Caenorhabditis elegans: one gene and its partners. The protein of the gene in region 4 interacts with the protein of the main gene of each other region in a pairwise test. Each region holds a gene or a part of one and is shown on either strand. Other genes may lie near its edges.

The links.
Region 1: the proteins of nhr-2 (region 4) and aak-2 interact in a two-hybrid assay, tested with the Caenorhabditis elegans proteins (one large-scale study listed by BioGRID).
Region 2: the proteins of nhr-2 (region 4) and nhr-114 interact in a two-hybrid assay, tested with the Caenorhabditis elegans proteins (one large-scale study listed by BioGRID).
Region 3: the proteins of nhr-2 (region 4) and npr-21 interact in a two-hybrid assay, tested with the Caenorhabditis elegans proteins (one large-scale study listed by BioGRID).

What each region holds. Positions count from the first base shown.
Region 1 is NC_003284.9:16,794,469-16,802,089, reverse strand, and holds the start of aak-2 (5'-AMP-activated protein kinase catalytic subunit alpha-2), read right to left. Parts: upstream 6,002-7,621; coding exon 5,859-6,001; intron 4,976-5,858; exon of another isoform or gene 4,916-4,975; intron 2,384-4,915; coding exon 2,220-2,383; intron 2,045-2,219; coding exon 1,576-2,044; intron 1,402-1,575; coding exon 1,283-1,401; intron 1,058-1,282; coding exon 952-1,057; intron 863-951; coding exon 757-862; intron 708-756; coding exon 500-707; intron 399-499; coding exon 87-398; intron 1-86. UniProt on the Caenorhabditis elegans protein: Acts as a sensor that couples lifespan to information about energy levels and insulin-like signals. Role in motility and response to oxidative stress. Involved in the establishment of germline stem cell (GSC) quiescence during dauer development.
Region 2 is NC_003283.11:4,185,214-4,190,539, reverse strand, and holds nhr-114 (Nuclear hormone receptor 114), read right to left. Parts: upstream 3,338-5,326; 5' UTR 3,332-3,337; coding exon 3,148-3,331; intron 2,934-3,147; coding exon 2,731-2,933; intron 2,533-2,730; coding exon 2,194-2,532; intron 2,139-2,193; coding exon 2,008-2,138; intron 1,932-2,007; coding exon 1,810-1,931; intron 1,758-1,809; coding exon 1,643-1,757; exon of another isoform or gene 1,530-1,642; intron 839-1,529; coding exon 676-838; 3' UTR 536-675; downstream 1-535. Other genes in the region: Y45G5AM.9 (Aftiphilin clathrin-binding box domain-containing protein), read left to right, coding at 393-524. UniProt on the Caenorhabditis elegans protein: Probable transcription factor which may have a role in detoxifying dietary metabolites arising from bacterial tryptophan metabolism.
Region 3 is NC_003284.9:17,154,562-17,159,690, reverse strand, and holds npr-21 (G-protein coupled receptors family 1 profile domain-containing protein), read left to right. Parts: upstream 1-1,722; 5' UTR 1,723-1,733; coding exon 1,734-1,821; intron 1,822-2,411; coding exon 2,412-2,491; intron 2,492-2,542; coding exon 2,543-2,695; intron 2,696-2,747; coding exon 2,748-2,853; intron 2,854-2,905; coding exon 2,906-2,982; intron 2,983-3,219; coding exon 3,220-3,296; intron 3,297-3,348; coding exon 3,349-3,514; intron 3,515-3,940; coding exon 3,941-4,037; intron 4,038-4,051; exon of another isoform or gene 4,052-4,097; coding exon 4,098-4,246; intron 4,247-4,300; coding exon 4,301-4,396; 3' UTR 4,397-4,603; downstream 4,604-5,129.
Region 4 is NC_003279.8:5,817,952-5,823,146, forward strand, and holds nhr-2 (Nuclear hormone receptor family member nhr-2), read right to left. Parts: upstream 3,184-5,195; 5' UTR 3,158-3,183; coding exon 3,048-3,157; intron 2,969-3,047; coding exon 2,774-2,968; intron 2,203-2,773; coding exon 1,725-2,202; intron 1,675-1,724; coding exon 1,153-1,674; intron 1,035-1,152; coding exon 921-1,034; 3' UTR 523-920; downstream 1-522. Other genes in the region: hmg-3 (FACT complex subunit ssrp1-B), read right to left, coding at 1-174; C32F10.8 (alanine transaminase), read right to left, coding at 5,187-5,195. UniProt on the Caenorhabditis elegans protein: Orphan nuclear receptor.

The DNA of each region.
Region 1 (7,621 bases), on a different chromosome or scaffold from region 4:
TTCTAGTATTTTCTAGAACGATTAACTAAATATTTTAAACAGGTTCCACTTTCAAAAAGTTCAATCTAAACAAAGAAAACCCTTACATCCAGACTCCTCGTCGGCCAAACTCTTGAAATCCAACAAGTAACTTCTCTGATCCACTTGGTACAACTGCAACGACATCTTTGGCGGGTCGGCAGCGGGTGCATCAGGCTTGCGACGAACAATCACATGATATGGGTTGAGCACCTTCCACTCCATGTCCAGCTGCTTCATCGCACGGAACACCTCGAACATGATGTCTTCCGGACGACTTTGGGATCGGATACCCAGATGCCACTTGGCACGTTTGTTGCGGTTCGCGCCACTGGCTTCCGTGTTGTCGAGAGTTGGTGTGATCTTGCTGCTGACTGACGCTGAAATTGAAGATTTAGATATTGTTTTACGAATTTCATGTTCGATGCAAAAGTTTTATTATTCTTTGCCACCAAGAGTTTTTCTATGCACCCTCTCCTACCTGCAATGCGCTCTGGATGGCGATGAACTGGTCCAGGTCCCTTATTCGGCGTCACTTGATAAAACTCCTCAATTGACAACTTGGCAGTCTCATCGGCAATTCTCTTGTTATCAACAATCAAGTTATATGCAATCGACAAATGGTGATGTGGATCATCTCCCAGCAATGCTGAGGTGACTTCCTCTTCGGCGACATGATAGCGCTGAAACTTTTCATTGTGATTAGAAACTTCTGCTCCTATCGAACACGATTAATACCTCAGTGACCTCTCGGACAGCCTCAATATCAACAATGGAAGCCTCACTCTCGTTGATTGGTGGGAACAAGTAGTTCGGCAAATCCTTCTGGAACCACTCGTGAGCACTGAAAATATAAAGCAGTTATTGTCTTGTTTCCTTGGCGTCTCATAGCAACGATGTTTGTTTTTTTTTTCTTTTTAGAAGACCACTTACATGACGTCCTTGATGGTGGCCCTCTTCATCGGGTCTACGCAGAGCATATGGTGAAGCAGATTTACAATTGGGCGCTCCAGAAAGTCTGGAGTTGGGAATACGCCAGCTAAAAAACATATTTCGTGAACGTTATAATTTTTAATGATTCCAATTTAAATTTCAAACATTTATCACCCGGGCAGTGCGCCAAAACATAGTAATAGTGCCTTTTGTAATAGGGATATTTCAATTTTCAAATCCCATTTCGCTTTCATATGTCTAAATGAAATTGGTATGTTGTCGTAATCCTTTGCCATTTTTGTGTTTTGATTCTCATGTCACACTAACGTACATTTAATTTTTCTGAAAAGACTTGGCACGTGCTCATCATCAAATGGCAGGGTTCCACAAAGAAGTGCATACAAAATGACTCCACACGACCATACATCAACTTCGGGACCTGCGTACAACCTGCAAAACAAAGTTGTTGTGTCTAATCTTGTTCAATTACTTTAATTGGATTTCTACTAGTGCAAAATGTCGTCTTGGTGTTTGCGAACACATGTTTCATGTTTTGTTATTCAGTTCTAATTTGGTTTTTATTTTACATTGAACCATGATCAGGAGACCACCATAATCACTCACTTTCCGCTAATAACCTCAGGGGCAGCATAATTTGGCGATCCGCAGCTGGTGCGTAAGAAGTCACCATCCGTCATAATATTTGAAAGTCCAAAGTCCGCAATCTTCACATTGTTCTGCTCATCGAGCAACAAATTCTCTGGCTTCAAATCTCTATGGACAACCATATGACGATGACAGTAGTCAACGCCGGAAATGATTTGTTGAAAGAAGCGACGAGCTTCTGCGGTCTTCAGCCGTCCGTGCTTAACAATGTAGTCAAAGAGCTCCCCGCCGGAAACGTGCTCCATAATCATGAAAATGTCAGAAGGTGTACTGATGACTTGGTAGAGGCGGATGATATGCGGATGGCGGAAGAGCGAGAGGTTTTGGATTTCGCGGCGAATCTTTCCAACGACATCCAGTGACTTGATCTTCTGACGGTTCAGAATCTTGACAGCCACTTTGTATTGAGTTGTCTCATGGATTCCAACTGAAAATGTGAAAACTAGATGAACAGAAAAGAAAGATAAATATGTCAGTATTTGGCAGATTGGGACAAAATTTTTGCAACAATTTGGCAGCTTATGGTGTTGCCAGGAAGTTGCAGCAAATGAAAAAGTTTCTAACTTTCCGGTTTGGTTGAATTTTAAGGTGTTGTAGCTTACCTTTTACTTTACCAAAAGTACCAACTCCGAGTGTCTCCTTGAGAATGTAATGTCCGATTTTGATTTGAGCTTTGAGCTCTTGTTGCTGCTTCGTCGACGTTTCTCCTCCTGGAGACGACATTTTCGAACTGTTGTCTGTGCTATCGCGGTCCTTGCGTTCCTTTCTGAAAACGTACGTTGTTGGTAGGTAAATGATCGTAAGTAAAATCTCGAATTCACAAGTTCCTCAGAATAATTGTTCAGTTAAAAAATCAATAAATACAGTCACGAGGAACCTCCTGCAAATAGCAAAACAACGAGAAAAACAAGTGTATAAAGAGCATGTATTTTTCAAAGATCAGAAATCTAAGAACAAGTTTTGGTGTTTTGAGAACATAGCAGAAACAAAAAATGTCTAGAACTACAACCAACAAAGATCGATGCCTTTTTTCCTTTGGCCGAAAATGTGGTAAAAGGTCCGCCAACCTCCCGCACACTCTCGCGACCCCTACACCTCTCACACGCACACTCTTCTCTCTCGATCTTCCTCGCTCACTCTTTCTCACAATTTTCCTCGTTTTCTAACAACAGACAAACACACACGCACAGCGAAGACAACGAGAGTTGACCATACAGCACAAAGCAATGGCGAGAGATAGAGAAAAAGAGGAGAAAAATAGAAGGGAAAGGCATCCCGTGTGTTCGTTTCCTTATGTCTATCGTCCTCCGGCGCAAACAGCGTTGGTAGGTAGGAACAAAAAAATAGAAAGAAGAAATTGAACTTTCATTTAAATTTTTAAAAAATCTTTAATATTTATTTAGACCTAACCTAAAAAATTGACAACAAGTAGTCAAATGGGAACGAAAACCAGAAATGAGATAAGATTGAAAACCGAAAATCGCGTTTTTCTACAGGCAAAAGTGCAATGTGGACATGATTGATTGATTTTACGGGTCTCAAAGACTTAAAAATTGATAACTGGTGTGGTTTTTGGATGGTAATTTTGAATGGATAAACAAAAAAGCAACTTCTTATCACAGAATGACCATTGCAGTAGGAGTCTCTAGGAAAACCGTATGCCCATCAGGTCTTATGACTGCCGCCCAGACACCAGACACTAAATTTCAAAAACAGCAGGTGCAGTCAGTGTTTTGACATAAATGTGCCGGATATGAATGGTAGAAGAGACAATAGGAAAGGTTCCAAAATCAACACCAATTACAGATTTTCAAAAGGTTGGAGGAACTGAAACATCTATTTTGAGAGAACAAAAAAACATGTAGAAAAACATCATCGAAGGTCAGACAGTGGAGACGATAGAGAAAACACAAGCGCTCAATGAATAATAGCCGTATTGTGTCATCGAAATTTGATACACTCGTAATATAAGTGGTGAAGATAACAACAATAATCACAATTTGATACGACTAGCATCAAAAAGTTATGCATTAAAACTGTGATTTTACTAATTGAAATTGTCAAGTTGGTAGAAAATTAATTACAGACGATTTATGGCATTTGAAAAAGTATTAAAAGAACTGTTACACCGCAATTTTTGAATTTTTTAAATGACTTCTACTAAAACGAGTTAAACTTTAAAATTAGTGAGACTACCAAAAACGTTTCCACTGATAAAAAATTGAGACAATTTTTCTAACTGCACTTTGAAAAAGTAAACTCGGCTGACATCGTAGGGTTTCATTTTGGCCACAAAATTTTGAAATCAATTTTAAGTTGGAACATGTGGTTTTTTTGTTAGATTTATGTGATTAACAGCTGCTCATATTCTCCTAACTCAGCTGAAAGTTTGCCCTTTATATTGGAAATTTAACGTATGTCCATGTTCAAAAAGTGCACGTTTGAAATATTTTTATATTTGTACTAATAGAAGTTGCACAAAAATTTGAGATTTTTGAAAAATATCCACCCTACTGGAGCTAGAACAAAACAACAGAAAAATAATAAAATCCAACTGATCAATATTTTTATAAATTTTGTCAAACTGTAATGTTCAATTATCAAGATGTAGTCTATTTCAAAAACTCAGGAAAAATTTAGCTCATAAGATGTCAGTCGCTTCAACTTTTCTACAGCGGATTTGAGACAATCCAGGGTTTAGAAAAACTATTTAGAAAAATGAGCTTAACTTCTATTTGAGAAAAAAACTTTTTCACAAATCATGAGAAAATGTCGAAAACAGTTTTTTAAAAATAATTTTTGCATTGCATAAAAGAATGACAAAATCGAATCTGGGAGCTTTCAAATTTCACAAGTTCCCACTAAATTTTCCTGTAGTTTCAGCAAGAATATATTATATTATACGGTGAAGCCTCTTGAACTGAATTTCTATGAAACTAAGCATCTCAGATATTTATGCTTTTGTATATAAATTGCCACAAAAAATTGTCGGCTGCAATAAAAAATAATAACCTATATTAAAAGTTTGAGGCTCAAATATTAGACAACAAAATCTAGAAGCTCAATAAAAATTTTCCAACTAACATTTATTCAATTGCCTTCTCGTGATCATTGAAAATATATTCAGTTACTTCACGGAAAACTTCCGAACCTATCAGAATTTTCCTAATTTATGGGAAACTCTTTTTTTTGTTGGAAATTTTGACAGGTCTCCTTGCAGAACGATGAAGAGATGTTAAAAATGAACACTGGCGGAAGAACTCAAGGTTCAAGATTCGTTGGTGTGGTATCTGTTTGTGTTTTTCATGATATACATGTGACTCCATCAAGCTTTGGCGTGTCCACACACACACACACACACACTCACACTCTCTCATACACACAAATACGCAAACGAGATCACTCAATTTACCATGATTTTCAACGGAGGACAAAAAGAAGAAAAGCCTTTTGGTCGCCTCACGCGGGGCGCCAGCCGTCTGCGTCTCACACTATTTTCGGATACGTTGCGGCACGTGTTTTTCCAATGCTAAATGCACGGAAATTGGGTTTGAAAGCGGAATGAATGAGGAGAATCCGTGAGAATACGAAGAAAATGTTGCCAACTAGGTAAAGAGGGGGGAAGTTGGTCCGATGAACGGAGTATCGTACCGCGCGTTGTTTAGTGGAGGGCGGCAGCGTTCCGCGCGGCTCACTTATTCGGGAAGGGCCCCCACATTGTTCGTTTTGCATTAAGGCTCCAGTCTCTTTTCTTTTGTTTTTGCATTGAACATTTTTGCTGTTATCTTTTTCTGTTTTGCTAATCGTAATGGGCGTTTACAAAAAGTTGCTGAAAATTAATATTTAGTCTTTCAAAAACTAGTGATCTAGAAAGTTTTCAAAAAAAAACCTTGGTACGTTATTTTAAATGTGAACAATCTTTAATTCACACAGACAAAACACGGAATTCAGGGAAAATTCAGTATTTTCCCGAATTGGAATCTAATTTGCTGAGGGCCGATGAATTTTTCAATATTTCGTAATACTAAAGTAATTTGTACGGAAAATCTGAGTTGATTAGCTGAGGCGCTAGAAGCATGTTTAATTTTTTCACTAAACTCATCAGTGTGGTTTTAAAAAAAATTAATCTTTTTCACATTTTCAAATGAAAAGAACATCCCTTCTGTGGCTACCCATCGCAAAATTTTAGAATTGCGGTTTTTGACTTCCCTTGACCCCCCGAAAACCCCTCAAAAACTAACCTTGACTTTGCCGATAGCTTTCTTGAAAGATTTTTCACGCGATTAAGTCCACTTGGCTGACTCCGACTCTTGGATTTCATCTCAGTACCGTCTCCACCACCGTCCTCCTTCCTATCGCGGTCTCGATCTTGATGAGAAAACATTTCTGAAAATAGTCGGTTATTTTGAAATGTAACCTAAAAAACGGGCATTAGAACGGCAATGTTAGACCTTGAAATCCAAAAAAAGAGAGAAAAGCCACTTTGTCATGCGCAGAAATCGGCGGCGATGGTGATGACGGAAAATGTGAATAAGCATATTTTGGTGGCGTTTTTTGGTTTTTCTAACAGCTCGGCTGCTAAAAAGGTTTGCTGTGTAAATAGAACAAGTACTCACCGAACACTTTTTTCATTGTTTTTCACGTCGAGAAGCAGCGAATTTTCTTTTTTTGAAGGGATAGCTTTTTGAATTTTTTTTTAGCTATTCAATGCAACATAAAGCAATAGAAAAAATGAAGGAGAACAATTGAAGCTAGCTCTCGAAGAATGTTTGATGAAAGCGAAAACTTCACTTCGAAATTTCAATATCTAGTGGAAAAGGTTTTCTAAAACTAACAGGGCGAATATAGCCATCTTTTTCCAAAATGCCATAAAAGTGGAAATGTAAATGAGGGTATGAACATTAACAATTTTTTTGACACGTTCATGTGAACAAAAAATTCCACCCGCATAGTTCCATATTTTTAGAAATAACAAAAATTGCCTAATATCACTTAATGCTCTAGCTCTAATCCAGTTACTAATCCTTATTTCAAAACGATTTTTAAGCACTTTTCAGTGCTTTTTCCTTCCTCTCGCCAAACAAAAAGCAAATATGTTCAGATGCTCGAGTGCAACGCACTGAAGCTATATTTGGCAGAATACCAAAAAATCGATTCAAAACGCAATGTAACAGCGCGTGGAAAGTTGAAACAATGTGATGATACCAGAAACATTCATAATAAATTCTGGTAAAGTGAGCCCTCCTCACTTGACGCTACTGTTTGTGAGTATCAGACTCGGCGACTTTTGTCAAAGTAATCGGATCAGAACGGGGCAGTGTATTGGTATACCTCCTGCCACAAGGCACGTGCCAGACAATATGAAACAGTATATGCGTTTTATTCAGTCTCTATTTTTTTCGCAATTCCCGCAGGGAAAGTCACCTGCCAAGCTTACAGCTTCTAGGAAAACATTATACTTTAACAACTATAGATAAATTTTGAAACTTAAAAGTTACTTGTCAACGAGAGCTCATGATACGAGAGCCAACGAGAGCGCGGGAAAAAAAATGAGAGGGAATAATAACTTTGAACGATGGGACGAGTTGAAAAGTGTCATATTTCGGAGCACAATGGTTTTGAGCACACTCGGCGTCCAAGTGATGAGAAAAGTTTACTTCTTCGTTAGACACTTGTTGACTTGCTTTCTTTGTTTTTGAAATTTTTGTTCAATTTCCATTTTTCTAACAACTATCATTATGTTTGTTTTTGTTGCCTCTTAATTGTTAGTTTTGTGAAAAATCCATGTCCATGTTCATCTTTATTGATTTTAAAAATTTTCAAATTAACTTCAAAATCATTAAAGGCCACCCATTAAAGTCGGTGACTAAAATAATAAATCAGAATGTGCTGAAAAAATTTTTAGTTGTCGTAAATTTTACAAAACTTTGTTGAGAACTTCGCCACGTAGAATTGAGGCTTTAAGGCGGCCCGGAGGCGCCTCTTATCGCCTTTTTCTTTACCT
Region 2 (5,326 bases), on a different chromosome or scaffold from region 4:
GCCGGTTTTGCCGATTTGCCGGAATTTTTCGTTTTCGGGAAATTGCCGGTTTGCCGGAATTTTTCGTTTTCGGGAAATTGCCGGTTTGCCGGAATTTTTCGTTTTCGGCAAATTGCCGGTGTTCCGATTTGCCGGAAATTTTCAATTCCGGCAATTTCGCCGATTTGCCAGAAAATGTCATTTTCGACAAATTGTCAGTTTGCCGATTTGCCGGAAAAATCGTTTGCCCCCGACCCCTGCTTTGAATTATGAACAAAAACCTTCAATCAACTTTAAAATAGCAATGCAACATTTTGAAATTAAAATTTGCAATCAATTTTTTTTGTCAAAAAATGTTCTAAAAATTGAACTAATTTTGCCAAAAATTTACCCCAAAAATCCCGTAATTTCAGATGACGACTGCATTATCACAGGACGAATTTACGGGATTTCAAAATTCGGAAATACAGAAAGAAGAAGACGATGACGACGATGAGTGGGGAGATTTTGGAGAAGCCGTTGTTGCTGCTGCACCAATTCAGGCGGTAAGAAAAAAAAGTTAAAACTTTATTGCAAAAAAAATACCAAAAAAAAAAAATAATAATAAACGTATATAAATAGGATTAGCATTGAGATTTTTTTTCAAGCGTGTAAATATTTCTGGAAATTAATTTATTAAATTTAAATTTATTCACTTCACAATTTGTGAGCAACAACGCTCGTCGTATCACCGAAAAACAGTTGCCGGGCAAACGCCGAGAAGCCGATATTCTCGAAAAAGTCTGCAATCCACACGGCCTCTTTCGATTCGCACGCCATTTTTGACATGGACGTTCCCATCAGAACCAATCGTGCGAATCTGCAACACGGGGATGAAATTGTGATCTATCAGTGCCGGGGGCTAAAAATTTTGGTAAATTGCCGAACTTTTGGTACATTCTCAAAATTTTAATAAATTGCCAATTTTTTGATAAATTGCCTAAATTTTGGGAAATGTTCAAAATTTTGGTAAATTCTTAAAATTTTGGTAAATTGCCAATTTTTTAATAAATTGCCAAAACTTTTGGAGGCACCACCGAAAGGAGAACATGTGAAAAAGGAGAATTACGAAAAGGAGAACACAAAACCACGCCCATTTTTCCATGCCGCGCGCAAGTTTTTGCAGAAACTTGTGCAAATTTTTATTTTCAAACGAGATAACGCGAAGCTCCGAAAGAACGTATCGCGTGTTGTTTATCACACGAATTCGTTAGTTCGGATCTTCGTTGTCTCGTTTGAAAATAAAAATTTGCACAAGTTTATGCAAAAACTTGCGCTCGGCACGGATAAATAGGCGTGGTTTTGTGTTCTCCTTTTCGTAATTCTCCTTTTTCACATGTTCTCGTTTCCGTGGTGCCTCCCAAAATTGTGAGAATTTTTCCAAAATTTTAGCATTTTACCAAAATGTTGAGAATTTACCAAAATTTTAGCATTTTACCAAAAATTTGAAAATTTAGCAAAATTTAGAGAATTTACCGAAATTTTGGTCAAAGTGTTCCAACTTAGCTTACTTAGCTAGTCCGCAACAAGACACATCAAATTGTGATCTATCAATGTTTGATTTGATCGACAAGCGAGTAATAGATGAATGCATCAAAGGAAGGAAAAACGTGATTTCACCAACCTTTCGATTGCCGTGTCCACGTCGTCTTTCATGGCCATGTAGCCGTATAACTGCTTGGTGATGCGGACTCGTTCGTTGTTCACAAGCTTGCGAGCCGGTAGAGAGATGTCAGCGTCTGGAATCGCATCAAAGTGAAAGTTTGGCTCTTATTGAGATTCCGCCCGGACCTGGATTCAGAAACGTTACCGCTTTGAACGCTGCAAATTCGGTTGCGTCGAGCTGTAGATCACGGAACGGCTTGAGCACGAGATCCAACATTTGATACTTTTTCCTGTTGAGTCCGGCTGGCCTATAACGATTGAACACAACGCGGAACGAGACGGGAATTGGGGCTCGGTTTGGAGTATATGTGACCGACAACTTACCGGGTTGGCTCTGGAGTACGATCGAAGTAGGCACCATCTGGGAATACAATTGTGTCTGGTCCGTAGTCCGGGGAGTTCCAGACTTGAACCAGGACTGGGACTGTTATTGCGGCATGGCGAACAAGTTCGGCCTGGAAAGGATTGAAATAATTAAATCGTTATACATGTTTCTGGTTTTCTTCCAACCTTATCTTGATAATCGAGCGCCTCAAAAACATCGAATGTTTTGGCATACTCTGTCAACAAGAACCAGTCTCTCTCGTGCCAATAGTGGTAGTCGTCGTGATTGACGAATCGTAGATCGAAGATCTGATGTCTCTCACTCGGCTGTCCCCACTTTTCCAAAAAAGCCGTGTCGTTCAGCAGAGCCTTTGAGCATAGAGCCTCGTGGAGAGATCGGATTGGAAGATATTCGGAGAGTCGGAGATCATTTGCACACTTTTCGCGTTCGGCAAGAGTTTGTAGGATGCAGCGACGAGGTTTCAGTGGTGCAGCTTGGAAAAGGAGTGGCGAGATTGGTGGAGGCTGTAATTTGGGATCACGTGGTGTCAGAGTTTCTCATTTCGGCTTGATCTACGTAGATCTATAGAAAATGCGGGAAAAGAGACGCAGAGTTCTCAACTGATTTTGCATGGTTGAGAACGTGCTGACGTCACACATTTTTTGGGCAAAAAAATTCTCGCATTTTTTGTAGATCAAACCGTAATTGGACTAATTAATTACCGATAGCTGTAATGGAGACACTGATGGTGGGGTGCTTGCTCCTTCGTCACTTGAACAGTCCGAGGTAGTCTTCAGCTCTTTTTTTGGACGCCTGGTACGTTTTGTGTATCCGATAGGGTCACGGTTTTGTTGGAGGGCGTTTCGGTCCATTCCCACGCTCAAACATTTCTCGAATCGGCAGTATCGGCAGGCACAGCGGATAGCTGAACTTTTGAAATATTTTTTATAAGTTCCTTGTTACTGCTAACAAGTGGTGTCAGAGTGTCCCATTTCGTTTTGATCTACGAGAATTGCGGAACTGATTCCGCATGGTTAAGAACGTGCTGACGTCACATTTTTTGGGCGAAAAATCCCCGCATTTCTTGTAGATCAAACCGAAATGGGACAGCCTGACACCAAGTGTGCTAAATAACTCACTTTTATCAACTGGACAATTGCCCTCGAATTGGCAAATGTACTTTTGTTTCTTCATAATTGTTCGCCGGAAAAATGTCTTGCATCCGACACATGACGGGACACCATAATGGTAGCCAGAAGCGAAATCTTGACAAACGAGACAAACGTGATCACGAGACGAGCTCGGAGACGATTGAGGTGTCATTTTGACCTGAAATACGCCTTGTTTGTATTGGTTTTTTTTGTGACAACGAGAATAATGCCAAGAGACACTAGACACGATAACAAATGCAAAGTGCCCCCGAATCGATGCGTTTTAGAGATAAAATGAAGGAGAAGAGGAGAGGTAAACTACAACAATTGAACTGTGATGTGAGACAGGCTAGGGACAGCTGTTGCAAAAAAACATTTGAACTTTTGATTTCTAATCATTTGAGCAAACTTTTTTTGAAACAATGATTTGCTGGGTGGTTTTGGAAGTTTTTTTGGAAAGAAATCAAGTCCTTGATGAAGTGACTCGGAAAAACGGGCGGTCAAATGATTGTTCATTATCAACATATTAACAGGCTGCCTAAGAAATGAGAATAGAAGACCTTGAGATGTATATTCTATATATGTCTGATATCAACGTGAAGATCGAACTGTCTTGCAATAAAACACAGTGGCTTGGGGCCTGCTGCTGACCAGCAGCTTCATCGCGTCCTCATGTATTTTTCACACTACCCCCTCCTCCTCTCAATTTCCGATCGTCCCCGTCGTCATACGACAAAGATTTGGGACGTTATCGCTGCCCGTTATATACGATTCTTCTTGACCAATGAACAAAGTACATGCGATGGGGGGGGGGGGGGGGGTGGAGCCTCTCTTGGAAAATGCCACGAGAAAACCACGCCATGTAATGTTGAAGAAGGGAAGATTTGATAAAGAAAGAAGTCTGCACCTACCTACTATGTGAGAAGACTTTTGTACACACAGACTGTAGCAGCAGCAGCAGAAGAAGAAGCTACACGTGGTGGCAGAGTGTCTCATTTTGGATTGATCTACGTTGATCTACAAAAAATGCGGGTGAGAAGAAACGCAGAGTTCTCAACTGTTTTCGGATGGTTAAAAACGTACTGACGTCACACATTTTTTTGGGCGAAAATTTCCGCATTTTTTGTAGATCAAACCGTAATGGGACCGTCTGGCACTACGTGAGCTAATCAATTTGTCTATGATACAGGAGACATGAAGAATGAGAAAGTTGCATTGTTAGTTGCTGAGAAATAGGCGAAAATTCGTCCTATTAGATGTTTTGGTCATTTGATTGCTGATAAGACACTGATAAGTGCTAATCAATTTAAGAATTAGTTGTTGGTAAATTTAACCATCTTATGATTAAAATAAAAACATCAATATTTGTACAAAAAATTCTGAGAATGCGTATTGCATAACATATTTGACGCGCAAAACATCTCGTAGCGAAAAAGAAGACTACAGTAATCGTTTAAATGACTTCTGTAGTGCTTCTGTGTCGATTTACGAGCTCGATTTTTGAAATGAATTCTTCTTTTCGAATATTGCCGGTCCAGAGAATGAGGAAAGTTGAATGGACACAGATATTCCGGAACCCAAGGTTGCGGGAAGAGCCGATTTGTATGGATTTACGGAGAGTTTGTGAATAAAAACACTCCGTAAATCGACAAAAATCGTCTCTTCCCGCGCCCCGCCCCTTGGGTTCCGGAATGTCTGTGTCCATTCAACTATCTACACTCTCTGTACCGGTAATATTTGAAAAGAAGAATTTAATTAAAGAATCGATCTCCCGTAAATCGACACAAAAGCACTACAGTAGCCATTTAAACGATTACTGTAGTTTTCTTTTTCGCTGCGAGATATTTTGCGCGGCAAATGTGTTGCACAATACGCAGCATTCTCAGAATTTTTTTTTTCGATGTCAGCGTGGCGAGACCCATGCGCGCAGGATACGCCGAAAATGCTTTTATTCAGACTTCAAAGCGACTTTTTGCAAAAATCCAAAATTGTCCTAAATTTCTTTAAAAAATCACAAACAAAATGAAAAAAAAATCGCGGAAGATTGCAAAAATCCAACTTCACGTAGTGTCAGAAAGTCTCATTGCGGTTTGATCTACAAAAAATGCGCGATTTTTTTCCCAGAAAAATTGTGACGTCAGCACACTCTTAACCATGCGAAATCAGT
Region 3 (5,129 bases), on a different chromosome or scaffold from region 4:
ACCGGGAAGAAGAAGCCAGGTTTTGTAGGCAGACGCTCGGCAAAAACAGGAGGTGCTAATTCATTCACGTCTCCATTTTTTTTCGAAAGTTCTCATATTTTGGAGTGTGATTTTTTGAGAATTTATCATAAATCAAAAGGATAATGGCTGTTCATAGCATCTAGCCTGATTCAAAAATTTCGAAATAAATTTTTTAATCATTTGCGAAAAAAACATTTTTCCGACATTAAACATTTAGTTTAAAATTTCAAATTCACATTTAATGATTTACAAATTTCCAAGAAAACAATTCCCGTGAAAATGAACATTTTTGCGCGCGTTCTCACACGTATTAAGTGTCTAATGGTTAGTAATGACTGGCAAAATTGGGATAGAAATTCACGTCATTATTTATGCGATTTGAGCTGGAAGAAAACAATTTTTCTTTGTAGATTTTGAAATTTTTTGAATTTGTGATATTATTTTTTTTTCTTGTAATTTTCTCCCATTTGGTTTGACTTGCAAATATGTAAATTTGGAAAATGCCCTCATTAAAATTTTTTTCTTAAATTCTTAGATTTTCTTTGAGCTCAAGGATAGTATCTTTTAGTTTAAAATGTTCGCTCTGGTACTCTGAATTTTCCAAAAATGCGAACGTGTCTGAGTCCAACAACTCCCAGGTTTCGCGTTGCTCTCAACATCGCCGCGCGGAACACGGTAGTTGTCGGACCGTGTTGCATCATTACTTAGAAATTTTCTGAGCAATTGACTCCGAAAATGGATGTGTTCAAATTTGTGAAAATTGAGCATTCAACACTTTTGTTGGGTTGAGTTTGAAAATTTGAACTTGAACAGACAATTCCCTGTGATCCTTTGTAGCTAAATCTATGTTCTCAGATAACCAACAGTTGGGGGGTAAACCTGCGTGGGTGTGGTTTTATGCTAAATGCGCAGCCGACACCGATGGAAGTCCGCGATTTACAACTTGAGTACCTGTTATATTCGAAAAATAACTTTTCGATGAAGTGTGAAAGTTACTATTAATTTTACGGTGACTAACCTTTTCAAAATCCCGCTGGCATTCAACTTCAAGTTTTATCTTTAAAGCTTATTCACTTTTGACTTTTTGTACACTTCCGATCTTTGAGTTCCACCTTTCGACATCCGCCTACTTTATGTGCATATCGTCAACTCTGAACGACATCGTAACTTCTTCCTCCTATTCCCTGAAACATTTCCACCTGCTCTTCTATTCATAGAATGATGTGGTGGGTGTCAACCTAGGATACTTTGAGCTTTTTTAAAAATTCACTTGATCTATGTGTCTTCCCGACTTCCTTTTCTCTCCGAATTCTTTTCCGAATTCCCCCGAATTTCTTTACTTGGAAAGTAAAAGAGGAAATTAGACGGCAAAAAGAAGATGTGTTTCGTGAACTTTTCACAACACTTCAAGCGTTCTTCTTTGAACTGCCCGTCTCGTCTTGCAACTTTTTTCATTTCATTCTCGTTTTTTTCATCTCATTCACATCTTTAATCATTCATTGAAATCTTAGGGCCGAAAATCCAGTATCGTTTTCATTCTTCTTTTTCGTTGCTCTAGCTCCTCCCCTGCGTCACAACATTTTTCAATTATTCTCAAAGTGTTATTTCTGTTTGTGTGGTTGGAATTCGAACTTTACACTTAAAACTTTTCACCTGCTCTACGTTTTTAGAAACTGTTACAATGTTTTTTCACCAGAATATTTTCAGAACGAATGGAAAGCGACTCCCCACTTAATCATCCTGTGGTACACTTTTTGCTCTGTGTATCCTACCTTTTTGTCTTTCTGGCCACTATAATCGGTATGCCAAGGATCTTTGTTCATATTTTTAATATCTGAAAATATTTTGCAATGATTATATTAAATATTGCAGATATTAATGGTTTTTTTTCGAAGTTTTTCGATGTTCACTTTCAAAATTCATTCTAAACCTAAAGCATGCTCCGGCATACCCAGAGATCATTTTCTGCTTCACACCTTTTCTTCACAATCGAATTGTTTTTTTTTCTAATTTCTTCTAACTCAGACTCGTGAATGCGACAAAATTTCATTTGATTTTCTCATTAGGACGGTTTTCGTAGCTAGGCAAACACACAACCAAGCAAACAATGACATTCATTTTTGATTTGTTATCCAATATCAGATGACAATATATCAGAAGACAGAATCAACAGTAGGCTATAATTAGATTACATTGAAGTGAGCAATAATTGGTGAAACTAAACTGATAATCGACATTTAGGTTCAAATTATATGGTAGAAGTACGTAGTTAATAGTAAGTGGTAGAGGACAAACTATTAGAACTTGAACAATTTATTTTAAAAAAGGAAATTAAGCTATGGGCAAATTTGAACAAAATTACCATCAAGCTATAACATAAATTCTTTCAGGAAATCTTATCATTCTGCTGGTCTTCTTCTCGCAGAAACGAGTCCGAAGTGTGCCCAACTTCTTTCTGGCAAATCTGACGGTAACTCTCCTCCAAAACTCACCTCCTATTCTGAAAATAATCTATTTCTAGGTTGCCGACCTTTTTGTCGGAATCTTCTGCGTTCTCCAGAACGCTGTGAATTTTGTATTCCAAGGACATGGACGGTGGCCGTTTGGCAAAGTGTTATGTTATTCATACATCTACGTACTACACTTCATACCAAATGTGTCGGCTGGAATTCTGGTAGGCAATCATGACGTAGGGAATCTTTGAAAAGCAACATTTTGATATTCAGGTGCTGGTCTCGGTTGAAAGATTGATTGCGGTGCTCCGTCCATTGCGGGTGCGAAGAGCATTTTCACAAAAAGTGCTCATCACATCGTCAGCTGTTGTTTGGCTAAGTAAGCTGACTTAAAAAGAAATGTGGAAATGAAATGTTTTCTTAAATTTCAGCTAGCGCAGTTATGAACACCCCATATGTAGTGGCTAGCCAGTTTTTAGAGATATCAGACGGGAATGAGACATACACAGTAAGTAACTTCACCTACCTGCCTGCATACAGGTTAACCACAGCCGAGTATGAAAAAATTCAGGCTAAAAACTATTATTTAAAAAAAATTCTAAAACCGCTTGGATACAATATGGCTAAATATGCAAACTTTGCCATTGTTTTTTTTCTAAAAGAATTTTCTAAAGATCTTTTGTTAGTTGAAGTATTACCAAATTAGTTCAAGAAGTTCCTTTTCTCGAAATAAAGATTTTTCCAGATCTGCACTAGACGTCATGTGGAAATTTATGGATTCAACCTCCTGAAGCTAGTCGCCACTATCAACTTCATCGTCTGGTGCGTTCGTCAACTCTATATATATTTTGTTTTGACTTTTAAAATTTTTCAGGTACGCCGTCCCTCTAGTAATCCTTCTTTGCATCTACGCTACCATCGGCCTCGTGGTGAGCAAGGCCGCAACAATCACGAAACACTCCGCCAACAAGCTTTTGCCAAGATCAAGCTGGCGATCCGAAGCCTCAACCGGCGGTGTGTCAGTGGAGAAGAGGAGAAAGGTTTGTTTAAAGATTCAGAACATGTGTTCACAGTTTGTTTGTGCCAAGTCGAACCACTTTTTCTCAAACGTTTAGTTCTGAGAGATGACACTTAGCCATATGGTAAAACCAAAAGTTATTGAAATTTGTTGAATTATTCAAAAGTTTGGTATAGGGCAGCATTTGATATTTAGCTTGAAACTTGCTTTTTAAAAAAGTACATGTATAAATCAAAAGACTAGGCACATGTGTTTAAAACCAGTTCAAAAATTGGAACATTTATTAACGGGACAGAAAAAAAAAGGGTCATTCACTGTGAGGAAAGCCTCCAGATTTTCAGAAGTAATATCAAACTACAAACTACAAAATCGACAAAATTTATAAACATACATTTTTCAACAAAAAAGTATTTTGTTGATATATTTCTGACATTCAATTTCACTTCAGGTTGGTCGTTTGGCAGTCGGAATCGTCGTGGCATTCGCGTTCTTCTCACTCCCGAGATATGTATATTTTATGTGGACCGTCTGGCGAGATCCGATGGGTAAGCACGTCGTCCACCTGAACCTCCAAGTTCCAAGATCATAAACATCAAACTTTTCAGCGCCAAGATGTTTGAACTGCCTTCAAAGTGTACTCCAACCCATCAGTTTCCTGCTTCTGTTCTTTAATGCCGCCGTCGACCCATTCCTCTACGCATTCCTTTCAACAAGATTTCGTCAAAGCATCAAAGAAACATTTCATCTTGGAAAGGTAAAGAATGTTCTCCAGCCAAGACATTTTCATTCTATTCGATTCAGCTTTCAGGTGCGTGAAAGCAACATCGAGCAGTCATCACGAGTGCGGCGTAAGGTGTTAAACTCGGAGTTGGAGACGGGTTACGAATATCATAATCACTCATAACAAATGTACATACATGCTTTAAAATTCTAATCCCACTTATTCACACATTCTCACACATATTGCGTTCTGTTTTTGTGATCTCACCCATGATTTTCAAAACTTTATAATGCTATCACCGTTTCTTTCCACAACAGTCTCCTGTCAAATTTGTAACATATACGTAATTATGGATATAGTTTCTGTCAATAATGAATTTGTCAAAAAATCAATTTTTTGGGTTTTCATGCTTAAACAGAGTTTGTAAATTATATTAATCCCAAATTACAAAATTATGCAATCGGATTTCTCAAAAATGTTTTAAAACTTTTTAAGAAAGGTCAAAATTTCAATGATCATTAAATGAACATTGATTTCCGGCCATGTGCCACATACAAACATAAATATTGAAGATTTTAGCTGAATTGAACAGTTTTTTTTTGAAATTTTGAACTGCAATGTAAAATATTTTAAAAACTTTGAAAAGTCTCATTATGAAATTTAGTTGTTTGGGTAAACTTTCGAGGTCTTTGGGCAACTAGAGCTACTTTTATATATTTTCAGCAAGCTTACAATTGACATAATTAAAGAAAATATTGCCCAGTTTGACTATTAAAGATATTTTTGACCCTAAGTAATCAACTTTCAGTATTCATGCAAAAAACCTCTAATCATTTTTTTCTGCTTTTCAGCTCTTTGAAAAATTCAGATGGCAAATTTTAAATAATACAAATGCATATAAAACTTAATTTCAAAC
Region 4 (5,195 bases):
CTTGTTGCCAAGCTTTTGCCATTTCAGTTTATCGACGTCGGTTCCTGTGATGTAAACTGATTTTCCACCCTTATCGCCTATGAAGTTAATCGAATTTTCAGTCAATGTAAGCGTTCCGCATGTTAAATGGCCTATATCCTCCACGTAAACTCCCTTGAATTTGAGCTCAGTCATTCTGAAACTTGTCAGTCAATAACGCGTGTAAAGAAAAGAAGCGAAAAACGTCCGCGAACAAGAAAAGTCCGGAAAAGAATGAAAAAAATGAATTCTCGAAAAATGCACTCTAATTTTTTCGCGCGTCGAACCGAAAACAAAGAACTACGGTAGTCGATCATACGTGAACACCGAAGTATACTGTATACGCAAGCACCGCATCTGACGACCGTTTCTATTAATTTTATTATTTTTTTAATAATTGACTAATTTTGACAAATAAATTGACAAATTACTATTACGACAAATTACGACAAATAACGGTAAAAGTTGTGGCACGTCAAATTTTTTCCTGCATACAAAATAGTTAAATTATCAAATAATATTTATTTCATCTTTTCAACAACCAAGAAGCAGTACCAAATATATTAAGTTTTTAACAAACTTCAAATAATATAATTTTTGGTACTGTAACAGCCTAACAAACAACATCAATTGGAAATTCAAAAAGAAACAGTATATAGCCCGAACGAGAGAGTGAGATAGAGAATTAAATTCACACCTGGAGGAAGAGATCAGTAAGAAATGATCAGACTTTGAGAACATGAATAGAAAATGATAGTAACGGGGGAAGGGGACTTTAAACAAGTATTTTGAATCTATATTGATTCATAAGACAGGAATAAAGTTTTGTGAGAATTCAGAACCGGTTGGAAGCGTGTCCAGACACCGAATCGGTTCTGAATTTATCAGAAGTAATATATTTGTTATTGATTGAGATACGGTCCCAATCTCATGAGCAATCGATCGCAGAGTCCTATCTCTTGTAGATGTGTTTGAGACAGTTGATGGCGTAATCCTTGACAATAACTCGTAAAAATCTGAAAAAGGTTAACTTTCTTGGCGCAATATTTACTTTCTTGAGTGTTATGGTAGGGATTAATTGTGTCATTTGGGAATATTCCGACAATTTTGGCATTATGCCAAACAATTACTTACCTCAGCGACACCTCCATTGACTATTTGAAGTATATGAATTCCAGAGAGAAGTGCAACTTCACAATCATTGAATACTGTATTACGAATGCCGCCACGAAGCAAATTTACTGGATTCTCACAGGAATAGAAAGTGATTGGATCAAATGTGAAAGCCGCACGAATAGCCAAGATACCACTCATCACTTTTTGAATACTCATTTCAAGTGCTTTTTCATCTTTTGGCAAAAGTGAGCTCAAAGCTGGAACTGATTCAATAAATTTCTTAATTGCTCCAATAGCATGAGTTCCCGATGTTAAGTGAGTAGAGCATGGCATGTTTGCAACAAAGGCGGCCGTAAGCTCTTTCACTTGTGATGTCATCTCAAAATTGGGCGAAGCCACTGATGGTTTAACATCTTTATCAGTTTCTTTGTTCACTCGAACGTTGTCACGATTCATTCCAACTGCGAGGCATTTGGCAAATCGACAAGCTTGACAACGAGTACGTACTCCACGATTTGCCGCACAATTTTCATATGAGAACTGAAAAATATAATAGCATATTTTTGAAATGCTTGTCTAATTAAACTCACTGTGCAATTTTCTCCTTTGGTACAAACATATGCGATATTCTTGTGAACACTTCTTCTGAAAAATCCCTTGCATCCTTCACAACTCTGTACTCCATAATGATATCCAGTAGAGTTATCACCACAAACCATACATCTATCCTTTTTAAAGAACTCACTCCAAGCATTCATTGTGAGATTATAGTTTGAAAAGTCTGGAGCAAACTGTGGCATTTGTGGAACTACTGTCATTGGTGTGTTAGTACGGTCATATGGAGTACCACGTGGCTTTTTTGTTGAAGCAGATGACGCTGGGAATGTGTTACGACGAACAGAACTGTTCTCTTTATCATCGGCTTCATTTCCGTTGTCTGGAGAACTTTGAGTCGAAGAAAGAATATTATTAATTGCATATGGTGAGATTTCTTCTTTTTCTGGTTTTGCTTGTTGAAGTGGAGTCAATTGCATTTGTGGCTGATTATGGTAGTTTGGAGTGGTTGCGCTGAAAAATTGAATTTAACGTTTTTACTATAGAAAGGATAAAGTAATCTTCCAGTCATCGTTGCCTTATTTATTAATTTAGTAACTCGCTGAAACGTAGAATTCCCTCGGCATACTGTACAACCGTGTTCTCAAATTCCGCTAAATCTGACTCTATTGTTCTCACCTAATCTCTTTGTACAACATCTTAAAATATTTTTTGTTGCATCTAACCGCTCTTTGTTCTAATTAGGTGTGAATTGGTAAAAATTACATCAACTTGAAATCACTAACTGAATTTTCAAATCCCACTTCCAACCTTGCCAGTTGAAAGAGATTCCCGTTTAGATGTCTTGAATCCTGCCAATAGGATTCAATATGATTCATCATTAGGAGGTAACATCTGCCACGTCATCAATACAGTCCCCCATCTGCCCCCTCTTCTGACCTGTCACTCTCTTACCCAGTTGCCACGTCACAAGGTGACCTGTTTCTACGTATTGCGTGAAACAAATTGGACCATAAAGTAGAGACCGCCCAAACACTCAAACATTGCGCAACTCTTCTTTTTACCGCGCAGAAGAAATACATACCTGTTCTGTGAAGTGAGTGGTGGAGAGATTGTGTCATTTCCCGAATCTCTGTCCGAAATCTGGCTCAGCGGTGATGTGGCATTTGGAGTGACTGTATTTTTAGATTGTGGTGGCATGTAGGTTGAGTTTGTTGCTGTTCCTGGAACCATTTGCTGCATTTGCATTTGCATACACAGAAGCATTTCTGGGGTCCATCTGAAAGTGAGAATTGGTGTTTTGTAATAATTCGAATGCACGAAAAGTTATGACTGGATACAGAAATATAAAAACTTACTGTGCCGGATTCTGTAAATATGACTGTTGATATGCATTTATCATTGGATAGCCTGGCATCATATGTGGTTGATTTGGATAATGCATCAATTCTGGATTCATTGGAACCATCTGAAAACTAGAAAAGAAATAGAGATAGAAAAATAATAAGAGTTAATAAATTGAAAAAAAGAGTATACTATGAAATAGTGTACAATTCAACAGACTGACAGAACGCGCGAAAATGTTGGTCAACGAACGCTCGAATTGGTTGCATAATGACCATCTGACCTTGCACACACTGTTCTCGCGCACTCTTGCTCGTTCTGCCTGCAACGACGGTGTGCTGCTCCGCCCCTGGTGGTCTATGGGAATAAGAAGGTGACAGTGAAGAGATGGAAAGTGGGTGTGATGACATCTCTTCCAAATATTCGCAGTGTGGTGTTGTAATATATTTGTGCGTTCGGATAAAACTAACAGATATTGTTGAGAAATTGGGTATGGTTCTCAGTTGGCATATGAGTTGCAGAATAAGAGTCTATCAAGTTTCAGTGAGAAAAAGTGTCGAAGAAATAGTAGAGCTCTTGAACATTAATTTTCAGGAAATTTCCCTCTCTCGAAGCCAAACAACTACGGACCCAGCGGTAACACAAGTAGCCTATAATGTTCTCATACGCTGTAAAATAATATTTAAATTCAGCTACAGCACTGTAGCTACAGTACACCTACAGTCCCTAATCCAAAAACATTTCGTCATTGTAGCTGGAATATATCGACCAAAAAGTATTGCTGTAAGTGAAAATAGTTGTACATCTCTTCCGGAAAGTGAAATTTAAAGGTTTTCTGAAAGACACACACAGTCAGAATAGAAATTTGATAGATTATATCTAGATTATGTTTGTGATTAAATCAGTACATGGCTGAAATCTAAGCAATAGTGTGACGTCATAATTTTTCAAAACATTAATTAGCCGCCAAGTTTGGTTCTTTGTAGGTCAATTCTTTTGCTGGAACTCTATGCTCATAACCCTCTTTTGGGGTAACATTTCATTTCTGTAACCCCTATCTATAGAGAGGCTATGTGTCAGAGAATACTATAATAGTACAGTAATATAGAGGTTAATGAAGGATCTTTAATCCATCCCCAATTTAGCACAGATGGTCGAATACATTCTGACAGAAGGGAAAGGTCAAACTATAAATATCGATTTATTCTGAAAATAGACAACGATTGGGGTTATCTAATCTTGATTCTTTTCAGAAGGGATCATCAACGGCCGAGCTGTCAATTTTAATTTAGCTAATGAGAAAACATTTAGTGACGAGAATCATTGCTGGAAATATTCTAGAATTCAGTATTCAAAACCGTTTCTAAACTTAAGTAAGTAATTCGAAAATTTCGCAAAATATATGTATTGTTTGATATTTTTTTGAAATTTTAAGACTTTTCAACAAAAAAAAACATTTAAATTTGTTAACAACAATTTTTCCAACTAAGAATTGGAAATAGTGTATGAAAATTTCAAAAATAAATTGAAAATACCAAACAATTCCGAATTTTCCGAACCATGTAGTTTTCCAAGAAACCCATTTGGAGGTAATTTTTGGTTTTATAAGATTTTAGATAGACAGTGAAGAATACTGCGATATTTCAAAACTGCGTAATCTACTCCAGTTATCTCGAGAGCCCATTTGTTTTCCTCCAATAAACTATCATTCTGTGTTACGTCAGTCGGCAACATTGTGTGTGTGCAGGCAGATTGACCTGATTATGTAACGTTTGTGCAACAGAATATTTGGTCATAAACTGTCACAGATTGGGCCTCCGTTTAGGTGAATTAGAATCTGCTCAATTGGATCGAGTGGAATGCACATTGTGTTGAACGGCGGTTCTGGACAAAGACCTTGTATTTTGGGAATCCATCAATAAGAGTGTGCCAGAAACTGTCTGAGGTCCTATTGTTTGTCAGGTGAAAGTGGCAGTATAGTCTTCTACAAAAAAAAGAATGTTAAAATTCATCAATGCAATAATTAAAATTAATCGAATCTACACAGTAAACGCATTTAGACCCTATCATATTGGCTATGAAACAAAAAGTGACATAGAAGAAAAAAAGCTGAGAAAATTGAGAAAAGAAGAATATTAGACATTGTTCAAAGTCTACTTGTA